Linked DNA regions of Stegostoma tigrinum. The protein of the gene in region 1 purifies or fractionates together with the protein of each later gene. This does not show direct contact. Links are inferred from orthologs where the notes say so. Each region holds a gene or a part of one and is shown in the gene's direction. Other genes may lie near its edges.

Region 1 (7,847 bases):
GCGCCGGCGGGCCCAGGCACCGCAACCATCAAGCGGGTAGAGGCAGCTACAGGGGGGCTATAAGAGCTCCTCTGATGAGGGAGGTTCAGACGAGGCCTGCCCAAAGCAGAAGCTAAAGATCTCGAGGGAGAAGGAAAGCAGCACCCCGCTTCCAGGTGACGGGAGGCATCCTGAGGCTCCCTCCAACACCCAGCCACACGCCGCTGGGGCCCTGGAGGGCCCCCCGGAACCTTCAGGCGGGAAGCAGGAAACGTGTCCCCAGCCGGACCCAAAACCGGACTCTCCTGCCTCCGTACCCCCGACGGGGGGATGCCACCCGAAAGGCTGCATGGACGGCTTCCTGAGCCCGGAGAGCATCCAGCAGTTAGCCCGGGCAATGGGCATGAAGGGACAGATGGAGGGGCTAGACCTTGGGCTTGGGGAGGGTACTGCGGTCACTGCCCACAATGGGGGTACAAATTGTGAGAGTAATGTGCGCAGCGTCAAGTCAACCGCGAGATGTGTGTCTACGTTGGCCTACCTGACCACCGTGAAGGTGGACCTCCTGTTTCTGCAGGAGTGCAGGATACCGCACCTCAGCAGGTACGGGAAATGGTTGAGCGTCTGGACCTGTGGGCCTTCGATCTGATCAGGTGGTAACAACTGTCGCTCCTCGGGCCTGGATATTCTGCTGCGGGGGCGCAACTTCACCATCTCTCAAGTTCAGGTGGTGGTGTGGGGGCGCCTCCTAGTGGTTGATGTCACCCACATGAACGCTCCCCTGAGGCTGATCAACGTGTACGCCCCAGCGGTACGGAGTGAGCGGTTGGCCGTCCTGCAGCGGCTTCCACCCCTGCTGGCTACATCCAGACCGGTCATCCTAGGCGGAGACTTCAACTGCATCATGCAGATGGAAGATCCGGCGTGGGGACACCAAGTCAACTGGACGTCACGTCCAGATTCCTGATGGGCACGGTGAAGGGCGCCAAGCTGCTCGACGTCTTCAGCACCCCTGCAGACGGAGGGCAGCAGAGATACACTTGGTCGCGGCCAGACGGGTCTATCTGCTCAAGGATAGACTTCCTGTTTGTGTCACGGGCGTTCTCGGTCAGGTCCACTGGCGTCGAGCCGGTGTTCTTCTGACCACTGCCTCCTGCTGGCTGACTGTCACTTACAAGACGACCAGCAGGCTGGCAAGGGGACGTGGAAGCTCAACACGACTCTGTTGACCCCAGAGAATGTCGAGGAGCTCATGAGGGAGTACGCTGGTTGGAGAACTGTGAAACCCCTCTTTGAGTCTCTGGGCGACTGGTGGGAGACAGTGAAGGAGAACATCAAGAGGTTCTTTGTTCTCAAGGGTGTTCGGAAGGCGAGAGTGAGGCGGGGAAAACTGTCGCGACTCCAGAAAAGGGTGCAGAACCTGCTCCTTCTGCAGTTGATGGGGGTCGATGTCACGAAGGACCTCGAGGTGAGGGGCCAGCAAGCCTCGCTCTTCGTCGCAGAGGCCTCCAGGATAATCTTCTGGTCCAGGGTCCGCTCCGCGGAGCAGGACGAGACGTGCTCGCGTTTCTTCTTTCAGAAGGTGCACAAAGAGAGCTCTGTGCTTAGCCGGCTGAAGGAGGACGACGGCTCGGTGACGTCGTCTCAGCCTGACATTTCGAGGATCAGCAGATCCTTCTATGCCGGACTGTACGATGCGAAGCCCACGGACAGCACGGCCTCCTAGTTGTTCCTGTCGTCTAACACAGAGGTCTTAGACAACGGCACAAGGGAGTGGCTGGACCGGCCGATATCCCGGGACGAGCTGCCCTCAAGTCCTTGGAGAGGAATAAGACTCCCGGGAGCGACGGCTTACCGGTCGAGCTGTATTCCGCTCTGTGGGACCTGGTTGGCCAGGACCTGCTGGGGGTGTCTGACAGTGCGCTTCGGGCAGGGGAAATATGCAAGTCCATGAGGAAGGGCATCATCACCCACATTTACAAGAGGAAGGGGGAGAGGGAAGAAATTAAGAATTGGCGTCCCATTTCACGATTGAACGTGGACTACAAAATCCTAGCCAAGGTCATAGCCAACCAGATCAGGTCTGTCCTGCAGTCGGTGATTCACCCTGACCAAACCTGTGCTGTGCCGGGCAAAAGGATCACTGAGAGCCTCACGCTCATCAGGGATACGATCGCCTACGTGCAGGACAGACGGGTGGACACCTGCCTCATCAGCCTGGACCAGGAGAAGGCCTTCGACAGGGTCTCTCATGCTTACATGAGGGACGTCCTCTCCAAATTGGGGTTCGGGGAAGGCATCCGCAATTGGATCCGGCTGCTCTACACCAACATCGTTAGCACAGTCTCGATCAACGGGTGGGAGTCGGACAGTTTTCCCGTCGATCTGGAGTCAGGCAGGGCTGTCGCCGTCTTCTGCACCGATCGTCGGTCGGTGAGTAGGCTGTTGGACATCTGCGGCCAGTTTGAACTGGCCTCGGGTGCCAAAGTCAATAGGGGTAAGAGCGAGGCCATGTTCTTCAGGAACTGGGACGATCGCTCCTTCATCCCCTTCACTGTCAGGACATACTAGAAGGTGCTGGGTGTTTGGTTCGGTGGAGCTGGGGCGTGCACTAAGACTTGGGAGGAGCGTATCACCAAACTGAAGCAGAAGCTGGGCAGGTGGATGCTCCGGTCCCTCTCCATCGCGGATAAGAACCTGGTTGTCAGGTGCGAGGGGCTTTTGGTACTGCTGTATGTGGCACAGGCCTGGCCTATTCCCTGGACCTGCGCCGCTGCGGTCACCCGGGCCATCTTCCACTTCATTTGGTGGGGTTGAGGATGGACCGGGTCCACAGGGACACCATGTATAAAGAGCTGGAAAATGGGGGAAAGGGCGTACCGAACGCCACCCTTGCCCTGATGGCTACCTTTGTGTGCGGCTGCATCAAACTGTGCGTAGATCCTCAGTACGCAAACACCAAGTGTCACTACTTACTGAGGTTCTACCTGTCCCCGGTGTTGCGAAGGATGGGCCTGGCCTTGTTGCTGCGGAACGCTCCGAGTAGTTGGACCGTCCCGTACCACCTGTCCTTCGTGGAGAAATTTTTGAAGGGCAACACCTTTGACCACAAGGCCAAAAGGCAGTGGTCAGCACGTCGTATCCTCGAGACCCTTCGGGAAGAGGAGAGGGTGGATCCCGTCGTGTGGTTTCCCACGCAGACTGCCAAAGTCGTTTGGCAGAGTGCCTCATCGCCAGAAATTTCAAACAAGCACAAGGACATTGCTTGGCTGGCGGTGAGAGGGGCTCTGCCAGTGAGATCCTTAATGCATGCCCGGAATCTCTGCGCCAACGCACGCTGCCCTCGAGTTGGCTGCCGGGGGGGGGGGACACGAGACTGTCAATCACCTCCTTCTGGAGTGTGCCTATCCGCAGGAGGTCTGGAGGGGGATGCAGTGGTATTTGTCGAGGTTCGTCCTGAGCAGCCCCATGACATGGGACTCCGTGCTCTACGGGCTGTTTCCCAGGATGCACACCGAGACCAACATCAACTGCGCCTGGAGGACCATCAATGCGGCAAAAGACGCTCTTTGGTCTGCCCGCAACTTGCTGGTCTGCCAGCTGAAAGAACTGACCCCGACCAAGTGTTGCAGACTGGCGCACTCCAAGGTCCAGGACTACGTGCTGAGGGACGCGCTAAAGCTTGGGGCAGCCACCGCCAAGGCACGGTGGGGAAAGACCACGGTATGAAACCCCTCGTCCAGAAAAGGAAAAAGAACCCTATCTGGTAACTGGGCCCAGCTGGCGCCTTCCCCAACTGGTCAGGGGGCCAACGGGGACTGTGCGGGGTGATGACTGCCAGGGTATTTTCTTTGCTTTGTTATTTTTCGCCTTTAGTTGGTGTACGTATCCCCTGGGTAACCCGGAGCGGCTTGCATGACTGGGTAGGTGTATAAATATGTTTTTTTTTGTACATTCTATGAATAAAGTATATTTTTTCAAATAAAAAAAGTGACAAAACGTCTGAAAACTAACCTGCCAGCTCAGCGAGCAAACTCACATCCACTTGGTGATCAAATTTGAAAAAAACACAAAGGTGCTGGAAATCAGAAAGAAAAGCAGAGACTGGGTGGGTCTGCTCAGCATCTCTGGAGAGAGAGAAGCAGAGTTAACGCTTTGGGTCCAATTGCCCTACTTTGGTATCGCCGGCCATTTCTGTTTGGTCAATAGTTCATGTGTTTGAAGGTTGGCTTCGAGAGACAACTTCTGGGGGTTGGGGGACAGTCTACAGGGGTCACCCAACTGTGAACGAGTGGGGCTGGCAGGTTCCACACTGACCATTTTAAAGTCGTTGTCCAGGCTCCCAGCAATGGCAGGGGAGGGCCTACTCAGGTAGGCCCCATTGGGGAGGGGGCAGCTCGCTCTCTTCAGCCTTTTACTCAGAAGAATGAGGACTTGCAGAAGCTGGCAATCTGACATTTGAATCGAAAACAAATCGGCAAGCGCCGGGAACAGCCCGTCAGGCAGACTCTACAGAGCGGGTCCATCCTATTGGTGCCGCCTCCTCAGGACAGGGTGCCGCCTTCCTCCGCCCGCCAACTTGGCTCAGGAGGCGGAAAGGACTACAACTCCCAGAGGGCTCCGCGGGAGCAGCCCGCTGCCGCCGGTTGCCATGGCGGCCGGGTTCCAAGGTCGGCTCCCGGCGATTCCACCCAATCGAGGCAGGCGTTGTTCGGCGCCCCGCTTCGCGTTTGCCAATAGAGATACAGGAGGCCCCGAGGCCTGGCCAATCAGGGGTCTAGTTGTTAGGAAGGCCGTTGAGGGGCGGCGGAGCCTCGGGAAGTGAAGGCAGGGGGATGGCTCAGTGATCGAGGGCGGACAGAGCCGTGGTCTAACCCCAGCACCGACAGCAAAATAACCAGAGGTGAGGATCGGGCCGGTACCGCGGGCCCCGGGCGGAGGCAGAGATACACTCATCCGCGCAGTGAGACTCGACTGTGTTAATGACAGAGGAGGAACGACAAAGTGAGGCCCGAGTAGGGGTAAGGGAACGGGGGTGGACGGTGGGGAACGGAGAGGGGGACGTGGGGGTGGATTAGGGAGGGAAAGGTTGGGTGGCGGGTCTTATGATGTGTGGAGTCTTATGAAGCGTGGAATTGGGTGGGCGTGTGATGGGGGGGTGTGAGAGGCGGGGCGAGAGTGGCTGCGGGGGGCGGGGCGAGAGTGGCCGGGGGGGCGGGGCGAGAGTGGCCGGGGGGGCGGGGCGAGAGTGGCCGGGGGGGGCGGGGCGAGAGTGGCCGGGGGGGGCGGGGCGAGAGTGGCCGGGGGGGCGGGGCGAGAGTGGCCGGGGGGGCGGGGCGAGTGTGGCCGGGGGGGCGGGGCGAGTGTGGCCGGGGGGGGCGGGGCGAGTGTGGCCGGGGGGGGGCGGGGCGAGTGTGGCCGGGGGGGGGGCGGGGCGAGTGTGGCCGGGGGGGGGCGGGGCGAGTGTGGCCGGGGGGGGCGGGGCGAGTGTGGCCGGGGGGGGGCGGGGCGGGGCGAGTGTGGCCGGGGGGGGGGCGGGGCGGGGCGAGTGTGGCCGGGGGGGGGGGCGGGGCGGGGCGAGTGTGGCCGGGGGGGGGGGCGGGGCGGGGCGAGTGTGGCCGGGGGGGGGGCGGGGCGGGGCGAGTGTGGCCGGGGGGGGGGCGGGGCGGGGCGAGTGTGGCCGGGGGGGGGCGGGGCGGGGCGAGTGTGGCCGGGGGGGGGCGGGGCGGGGCGAGTGTGGCCGAGGGGGGGGCGGGGGGGGGCGAGTGTGGCCGGGGGGGGCGGGGCGAGGGTGGCCGGGGCGAGTGTGGGGCTGGGGCGGGGCGAGAGTGGCCGGGGGGGCGGGGCGGGGCGAGAGTGGCCGGGGGGGCGGGGCGAGGCGAGTGTGGGGCTGGGGCGGGGCGAGAGTGGCCGGGGTGGGCGGGGTGAGTGTGGGGCTGGGGCGGGGCGAGAGTGGGGCTGGGGCGGGGGCGGGGGCGGGGCGAGTGTGGGGCGGGGAGTGAGGTGGGGGGGGTGGGGAATTAGGGGGCGGGGGCGGGGCGGGGAGTGATGGTGGCGCGGGGAGGGGGGGCGGGGGGGCGGGGAGTGATGGGGGGGAGGGGGGGCGGGGAGTGATGGGGGGGAGGGGGGGCGGGGAGTGATGGGGGGGAGGGGGGGCGGGGAGTGATGGGGGGGAGGGGGGGCGGGGAGTGATGGGGGGGGCGGGGGGGCGGGGAGTGATGGGGGGGGCGGGGGGGCGGGGAGTGATGGGGGGGGCGGGGGGGCGGGGAGTGATGGGGGGGGCGGGGGGGCGGGGAGTGATGGGGGGGCGGGGGGGAGTGAGGGGCGGGGGGGTGGGGAGTGGGGGGGCGGGGGGGTGGGGAGTGGGGGGGCGGGGGGGTGGGGAGTGGGGGGCGGGGGGGAGTGAGGGGCGGGGGGGTGGGGAGTGGGGGGCGGGGAGTGATGGGGGGGCGGGGGGGAGTGGGGGGCGGGGGGGAGGGGAGTGGGGGGCGGGGGGGAGGGGAGTGGGGGGGCGGGGGGGAGTGAGGGGCGGGGGGGTGGGGAGTGGGGGGCGGGGGGGAGTGAGGGGCGGGGTGGTGGGGAGTGAGGGGCGGGGGGGCGGGGAGAGAGGTGGGGGGCAGTGAGGGGGGAGGGGAGTGGGGCGGGGGCGGGGGCGGGGAGAGAGGTGGGGGGCAGTGAGGGGGTGGGGAGTGATGGGGGGGCGGGGGGGAGTGAGGGGGAGGGGGGGCGGGGGAGGGGAGTGGGGCGGGGGCGGGGAGAGAGGTGGGGGGCAGTGAGGGGGAGTGAGGGGGAGGGGGGGCGGGGGAGGGGAGTGGGGCGGGGGCGGGGAGAGAGGTGGGGGGCAGTGAGGGGGTGGGGAGTGAGAGGGGCTGCGGGGAGTGAGGGGGGTCAGGGGCGGGGAGTGAGGGGGGCTGCGGGGGGGGGGCGGGGAGTGAGGTGGGGGGCAGTGAGGGGGCGGGGAGTGAGGGGGGCTGCGGGGAGTGAGCGGGGTCAGGGGCGGGGAGTGAGGTGGGGGGCAGCGGGGGGGCGGGGGCGGGGAGTGAGGGGGGGCGGGGAGTGAGGGGGGCGGGGGGGTGAGGGGGCGGGCAGTGAGGTGAGGGGCAGTGAGGGGGCGGGGAGTGAGGGGGGGCGGGGAGTGAGGGGGGCGGGGGCAGGCAGTGAGGTGGAGGGCAGTGAGGGGGCGGGGGTGGGGGCGGGGAGTGAGGGGGGGGCGGGGAGTGAGGGGGGGCGGGGGTGGGGGCGGGGAGTGAGGTGGGGGCGGGGAGTGAGGGGGGGCGGGGGTGGGGGCGGGGAGTGAGGTGGGGGCGGGGAGTGAGGGGGGGGCGGGGGTGGGGGCGGGGAGTGAGGGGGGCGGGGGTGGGGGCGGGGAGTGAGGGGGGGTGGGGGCGGTGAGTGAGGGGGGCGGGGGCGGGGGCGGGGAGTGAGGGGGGCGGGGGTGGGGGCGGGGAGTGAGGTGGGGGCGGGGAGTGAGGGGGGGGCGGGGGTGGGGGCGGGGAGTGAGGTGGGGGCGGGGAGTGAGGGGGGGCGGGGGTGGGGGCGGGGAGTGAGGGGGGGTGGGGGCGGTGAGTGAGGGGGGCGGGGGCGGGGGCGGGGAGTGAGGGGGGCGGGGGCGGGGGCGGGGAGTGAGGGGGGGGCGGGGGCGGGGAGTGAGGGGGGGCGGGGAGTGAGGGGGGGGCGGGGGCGGGGGCGGGGAGTGAGGGGGGGGCGGGGGCGGGGGCGGGGAGTGAGGGGGGGGCGGGGGCGGGGAGTGAGGGGGGGGCGGGGGCGGGGAGTGAGGGGGGGGCGGGGGCGGGGGCGGGGAGTGAGGGGGGGGCGGGGGCGGGGAGTGAGGGGGGGGCGGGGGCGGGGAGTGAGGGGGGGGCGGGGGT
Region 2 (7,540 bases), on another chromosome or scaffold:
CTCAGATTGTGACAACAGGAAGTTAGTCTTGTGAACAGGATGTGCAGACTGTTGCTCAATGTTTCTGTCTGGCAATGTCAACTACACTTTCAACTGTAAAGGCAAGGTATATTTAAAAAAAAAATCAAAGTTATTTGACCCAAATTTGCTGACTTTGAAAGTTTTACATATTCCCAAGGCCAGGAGCCAGCAGTTTGATTATTGTAGTTAAACTGATAAAGATAACATTGGGTTCCTGCATGCAATCATTAGATAATAAGACAATAGCTCTCTTTAAGAGGTTGCATGAAAAATAATTTGATGGAATCAAATGGATTCAAGTGTAATAGATTGTTCACTATTTCATTTGATTATACAATAAATGTGCTGCAGTGCTCACTTGTTGCAGAAGGCCTGAAACATAAAGGGATAAATGCATATGCACTGTTCATGGCCATATGATTGAAGACAAGACCTTCAATGATAGGTAAGCTTTTGGAGCAAGACTTAGTGACCAACAAGGATTTTCAAGCATTCTCTAATTTATTCAATAATGGAATCAATCTTTGCTAAAAGATATTGTGAAGTTTCATAGGCAATTAATGTATATTTGAGCAGAATGTTGGACATTGCTCCTTGAAGGCAGAACTAAATGTCATTCAACAGTTGAAACAAAGAATTTTTATTATAGTGCAACTTTTACAATCAGCAGGATTCCCAAAGTGTTTTACAGCTAAAGTGCTTTTGAATCGTAGTCACTCTTGTACTGTAGGAACTACTAGAGCCATTTTTTACATTGTGACTTTGAAGAAGTCATATATGAATTATCTTGAGCCAAGTGAAAGATAAAACACCATGATAAACTGGGAAACAGGGAATTCACCCCCAAACTATCTAAAATGTTTCATTTGAAACTAAGTACTTGAAAAATAACTTTACAAAATTCAGAAAGCCGTTAGCAGACTACAAGAGATAACAAGGTGTACAGCTGAATGAACACAGCAGGCAAAGCAGCATCAGAGGAGCAGGAAGGCTGACGTTTCGGGCCTAGACCCTTCTTCAGAAATTGGGGAGGGAAAGGGGGTTCTGAAATAAATAGGGAGGGAGGGGGAGATTGAAGATGGATAGAGGAGAAGATAGGTGGAGAGGAGACAGACCAGTCGAAGAGGCAGGGATGGAGCCAGTAAAGGTGAGTGTAGGTGGGGAGGGAGGAAATAGGTCAGTCCAGGGAGCACGGACAGGTCAAGGGGGCGAGATGAGGTTAGTAGGTAGGAGATAGAGGTGGGGCTTGAGGTGGGATGAGGGGATAGGTGGGAGAAAGGACAGGTTAGGGAGGTGGGGACGAGCTGGGCTGGTTTAAGGATGCGGTGAGGGGCGGGGAGATTCCACATTGATACTATTAGGCTGCAGGGTTCCCAAACGCAATATGAGTTGCTGTTCCTGCAACCTTGGGGTAGCATCATTGTGGCACTGCAGGAGGCCCAGGATGGGCATGTCATCTGCGGAATGGGAGGGGAAATTGAAATGGTTCGCGACTGGGAGGTGCAGCTGTTTAGTGTGAACCAAGTGTAGGTGTTCTGCAAAGCAGTCCCCAAGCCTCCACTTGGTTTCCCTGATGTAGAAGAGACCACAACAGGAACAGTGGATGCAGTATACCATATTAGCAGATGTACAGGTGGACATCTGCTTGAAGTGGAAAGTCTTCTTGGGGCCTGGTATGGGGGTGAGATGTAGGGGCAGGTGTAGCACTTCTTACGGTTGCAGGGGAAAGTGCCAGGTGTGGTGGGGCTGGAAGGGAGTGTGGAGCGGACAAGGGAGTCACGGAGAGAGTGGTCCCTCCGGAAAGCAGATAAGGGTGGGGAGGGAAAAATGTCCTGGGTGGTGGGGTTGCATTGCAGATGGTGGAAGTGTCGGAGGATGATGCGTGGGATCCAGAAGTTGGTGGGGTGGTACGTGAGGACGAGGGGGATTCTGTTTTGGTTGTTATTGCAGGGAGGGGGTGTGAGGGATGAGTTGCAGGAAATGCGGGAGACATGGCCGAGTGCGTTCTTGACCACTAAGTAGGGGAAGTTGTGGTCCTTGACAAATGAGGACATCTGAGATGTACAGGAGTGGAATGCCTCATCCTGGGAGCAAATGCGATGGAGACGAAGGAATTGGGAATAGGGGATGGCATTTTTGCCGGAAGGTGGGTTGGATGAGATGTATTCGAGGTAGCTGTGGGAGTCGGTGGGCTTGAAATGGATATAGGTTTCTAGGTAGTTGCCAGAGATGGAGACAGAGAGGTCCAGGAAGGAGAGAGAGGTATTAGAGATGGTCCAGGTAAACTTAAGGTTGGGGTGGAAGGTGTTGGTGAATCGGATAAACTGTTCCAGCTCCTCGTGGGAGCACGAGGCGGCGCCGATACAGTCATCAATGTAATGGAGGAAGGCGTGGGGTTTAGGGCCAGTGTATGTATGGAAGAGGATCTACATAACCTACAAAGAGGCAGGCATAGCTTGGGCCCATGTGGGGTACCCATGGCCACCCTTTTGTCTGTAGGAAGTGGGAGAAATTGAAAGACAAGTTGTTGAGGGTGAGGACAAGTTCGGCTAAGCAGATGAAGGTGTCTGTGTATGGGAACTGGTGGGGCCTGTGGGACAGGAAGAAGCGGAGGGCCTTTAGGCCATCTGTATGGGGAATGCAGCTGTATAGGGACTGGACATCCATGGTAAAGATGTGTTGGGGACCAGGGAATTGGAAGTTCTGGAGGAGGTGGAGGGTGTGGGTGGTGTCACGGACGTAGGTAGGGAGTTCCTGGACCAAGGGAGAGAAAATGGAGTCCAGATAGGTGGAGATAAGTGCGGTGGAGCAGAAGCAGGCAGAGACAATGAGCCGACCAGGGTTGTCAGGTTTGTGGATTTTGGGAAGGAGATAGAAGCGGTCAGTGCTCGGGGAACTGCTTTGCAGAAAACCTACGCTCAGTTTACTCTAAACAACTGCACCTCCCAGTCGCAAACCATTTCAACTCCCCCTTCCATTCCACAGTCGACATGTCCATCCTGGACCCCCTGCAATGCCACAGCAATGCTACCGAAGGAGCAGGAACAGCATCTCATATTCCACTTGGGAACCCTGCAGCTCAATTATATCAATGTGGACTTCACAAGCTTCAAAATCTCCCCTCCCCTGACCGTATCCCAAAACCAGTCCAGCTCGTCCCTGCCTCCCCAACCCTGTCTTTCCTCCTACATATCCCCTCCTCCCACCTCCAGCCCCACCTCTATCTCCTACCTGCTAACCTCATCCCGTCCCCTTGACCAGTCCGTCCTTCCTGGTCTGACCTATCTCCTCCCTACCTCCCCACTTACACTCACCTTTCCTATCTCCATCCCCACCTCTGACCAGTCTGCCTCCTCTCCACCTATCTTCTCCTCTATCCATCTTCTGTCCACCTTCCCCTCTCTCCCTACTTACTTCAGAACCCCCTTCCCCTCCATCATTTCTGAAGAAGGGTCTAGGCGGGAAACGTCAGCTTTCCTGCTCCTCTGATGCTGCTTGGCCTGCTGTGTTCATTCAACTCTACACCTTATTATCTCAGATTCTCCAGCATCTGCAGTTCCTACTATCTCAGCAGACCACAAGCTCTGAGAACAGATAAACAAAGTTTCGGAACAATGGTTAAGATTGACAAATTTTTCGTGAGAACATCCAATATGCTCGCTACATGTCTGAAATTTTATTTATCTTTAAAAATGTCACATCGCAAACAGTTAGTTCAGTTTCCTTTAGAAGTCTTATAGCACGTCAACAGAGCAGTTAAACCTTTGTAAGATAACAAAGTGTGGGGCTGGATGAACACAGCAGGCCGAGCAGCATCTTAGGAGCACAAAAGCTGACCTTTCGGGTTAAACCTTTGTACTGGTTGTGCTTATTCATAGATGACGGGTTCCTTGCCATGCCCTGCCCACATTTAATACATTTCAGCTACTGAACAGAAAGTGTAGTCCTTCATGGACTAAGGCTAATTATCTTGCATAGCAATCAAGTCAAGCAAAACGATCTGAACAGATTATGATGTTGATGTTCAATATAATATTAATATTTAGGGCTGATCATTTTCAGGCACAACATTTAGCTGCATCAATTGGAGATGGTCACAAATTTTGCAGATAATCCAGATTATGCAAGCATGAATGCATCAGGTGCAGCACTGGCCAGCAGCCACAATTGACAGTGGTGGTCAGAAGCAGCCATGATTGACAGCTCTGTCCGGGCTGCACTTCTTCCAACCCAACATGGTTATGGCCCCTTCCCCCACCCCAAACCCCGGCTTAGGTGTTCGCCTCACTGCCTGACAGCCGGTGCTCACCTTGGGCGGCGGGGGCTCCCGTTTATTACCGGGCTGTGAGTGGCTGCGGCAGTGTTGTTGCGAGAGCGTTGTTGGTGTTTGTCTGCGGTGTCCGGCGAGTTTGTCGTGCGAGGCCCCGGCAGGCAGGCGGTGGGCGCCCTTGGCTGCGGTTGTTGGGGGAGGGGAGGGCGGCCTGGCGGGGAAGATGTCCGCCACTCTCCTCTCGCCCATCGTTGATTATTACAACGATGAGGAGGAGCTGGACAGCGTGGACGACGAGGACGACCGCAGCATCCGGGGCCGCGATTCGGATGAAGGTGAGTGCAGATGGAACCGGGGTGTATGTGTGATAAGAGGCGGGCGGTTGTCGCCGCCTGACGGTGGGCCTCATGTACAGAGGCTGGAACCGGGAGAGGTGAGGCTACTAACTTGGAGCCGGTATCAAGCAAACATGTAGGCGCTGCTTATAAAATGGATGACTTGTTTACAGTTCTAAGCGAGGGAACCGGACCCGAAATGTTAACTCTGATTTCTCTCCACAGATACTGCCAGACCTGCTGAGTTTTTCCAGCAATCTCTATTTTTTTTGTTTCTGACTTGTTTACAGTCTTCTTTCGAGGATTAAAAAAAAGAAAAAAGGTGGAAAGAGAGCCAGAGGCAAACTTTCAGAATTCCTGTTGCCACACTCCTTACCCTTTCATGAAATGTTGTCAAGCACCACTCGCAGAACATTTTCCCCCATAAGTCCTCGCTCAGGAGTTTGGTCAGTTCAAGGATGTGGGACATTTTCATAGAATCTCGACAGCGTGGAAACAGGCCCTTCAGCCTAACCAGTCCACACCGAACCTCCAAGCATTCCCACCTAATCTATGCATCCCTGAACACTGAGCAATTTAGCCTGGTCAATCCATTTAGCATACACATCTTTGTACAGTGGGAGGAAACCCACGCAGACACTGGGAGAATGTGCAAACTGCACACAGACAGTCGCCCAAGGGTGGATTCGAACCTGGGTCCCTGGTGTTGTGAGGCAGCAGTGCTAACCACTGAGCCACCATGAAAAACTGTTGTTGAGATAGTGAAAATCCCTGGGTGTTTTTAGTTTTGCCATCCCTCTTCCCACTCCCAACCAACATTTAGAACAGAATTACAATTCAGCACTTGTTATCCTCCATGACCTTGTGCAGGTGAAGAAGGTGTTTCATGTGCTTCCTTCATTGCTCAGAACATTGACATCATGTTGTGGACATTGTTGATGTCACTTTTTCAATACTGTGTACAATTCTGCTCACCCTTCTGAAGGAGGGATGTTGATAAACTTTGAGAGCACACAGAAAAGATTTACAAGGATGTTGCCGTGACTGGAGGGTATGAGTTACAGGGAGAGGCTGAATAGGCTGGGGCCTTTTACCCTGGAGCATGGGAGGTTGAGGTTTTATAGAGGTTTATGAAGTCCAGACGGGCATGGATAGGCTGAATAGCCAAGATCTTTATTTCCTAGGATGGGAAAATCCAAAACTAGAGTACATCGGTTTAAGCTGAAGGGGGAAAGATTTGTGGACAAGTTGGACTGGAGGGTCTGTTTCAATGCTTTGTAATGTCATGACACAACATTGAGGGAATTATAATGTGGCTCAAGTCACTTGATGTATATACTCTAGCATTGTGTAGCAGGATGTACTGCGAGTAATCAAGATTGTTTTGGAATCCTGGCTGAATTTCTTTCACTTTGACACTGATTTGCATTCACAGATCACATTTCTAGTGTCTTTTGGAAATATTCAAAATCATTTCATACACAGGGAATGATTTCAAAATTGCAGTAACTGCTCCATTGGCACATGTGACCAGTGTGCTGACAACATGATCTCACAAACTAATTGTATGAATGGTGTTTGTTTGATTTTGTTGTTGTTTGTCAAGTGGTAATGTTGTGTAAGATTTCCTTTCTTTTTGAGAAATGTTCGTGTCCTTTAATGTCCAGCTAAACAATGGGAAGAAGCGAATATGATCTGCTCTTATAATGAAGGAAGCACTCCAGTTTTGCAGCAGCTTTGTACTTGTATATTAGATGAGATTGTGGGAAGACAGACATAGAGTAGGAAAGGCAAAGAGACTGATGTTTATATAAAACTAAAGGCATTCATGTTCAGAGTAGAGGAAGAGTTCAAAATACCAGCTGCACCAGAGGAACTTGTTATTTTGATGACTCTTGATACTAAAATTGTGCCGTAGGATTAGAACATTGCAAAATCTCTTCATTATTTGAGAAGGGAGTTTTTTTGCTCATTAGCAGAATGTGGCATCAGTGACATGACTTTCTCCAGGGCAACTAGGGATCAGCAATGAGCTGCCTGTTGATTTTCTGCGGTCCTTGAGATGTCTGAACACTCACCAAACTGTTAGGGAGTTCCAGGATTTTGACCTAAGGACTTTGAAGGAACAACAGTATATTAGAAGTCAGGATGGTATAAAAGTTGGAAAGGATCTTGCAGATGGTGATGTATACATGCATCTGCTGCTTTTGTCCATTTTAGATGTTAGAAGATGCTGGTTTGAAAAGTGCTATTGGAGGAATCTTGATGAATTACTGCATGTATTTTGCAGATGGTACACACTGCTGCTATTTTGTGTCTGTTGTGAAAGGCCTGAATGTTGAAGGTGGTGATTTGGGTGCTGATCAAGCGGGCTGTTTTGCCCTGGATGGTGTCGAGCATCTGAAGTGTTGTTGGAGCAATGTCTCTCCGGGCAAGTGGTGAGTATTCATCACTCTCTTTTGACTTGTGCCTTGAAGACAGCAGACCAACATTGGGAAACAGAAAGTGAGTTTTCGTTGCCGAATTCTGACGAGCTCTTGTAGCGACAATATTAAATGGCTGATCAGTGGTAACCCCCAGGATGTTGTTAACGGTATTACCCGCTGAACTTGAGGTGGGAGGTTCTTTTGGAGGTGGCTATTGCCTGCTACTTTTGTGGCATAAATATTATTTGTCAGCCCTGGTCTGGATGTTAGCCACATCTTGCGGCATTTGGACATGCACTGCTTCAGTATATGAGAAGATGTGAACGTTGCTGAACATTATGCAGTCATTAGTAAATACCCCCACTTCTGGCTTTATGATGGATGGCCATTAATGAAATAGCTGGGGTTATTTGAATCTGGGACAATGCCCTGAAGAACCCATGTTGTAATATCTTAGGACCAAGATAATTGACCTCAAGCAACCACAG

What was found.
Region 2: the proteins of histone deacetylase complex subunit SAP130-like (region 1) and suds3 purify together in Homo sapiens (affinity purification with western blotting; 3 studies listed by BioGRID, with this or other methods). This does not show direct contact. The link is inferred for Stegostoma tigrinum from reciprocal best matches to the Homo sapiens genes SAP130 and SUDS3.

What each region holds. Positions count from the first base shown.
Region 1 is NC_081367.1:5,811,752-5,819,598, forward strand, and holds the start of histone deacetylase complex subunit SAP130-like, read left to right. Parts: upstream 1-4,779; 5' UTR 4,780-4,961; coding exon 4,962-5,000; intron 5,001-7,847. UniProt on the Homo sapiens protein: Acts as a transcriptional repressor. May function in the assembly and/or enzymatic activity of the mSin3A corepressor complex or in mediating interactions between the complex and other regulatory complexes.
Region 2 is NC_081379.1:35,357,149-35,364,688, forward strand, and holds the start of suds3 (sin3 histone deacetylase corepressor complex component SDS3), read left to right. Parts: upstream 1-4,461; 5' UTR 4,462-4,514; coding exon 4,515-4,626; intron 4,627-4,705; exon of another isoform or gene 4,706-4,724; intron 4,725-7,030; exon of another isoform or gene 7,031-7,045; coding exon of another isoform or gene 7,046-7,064; intron 7,065-7,540.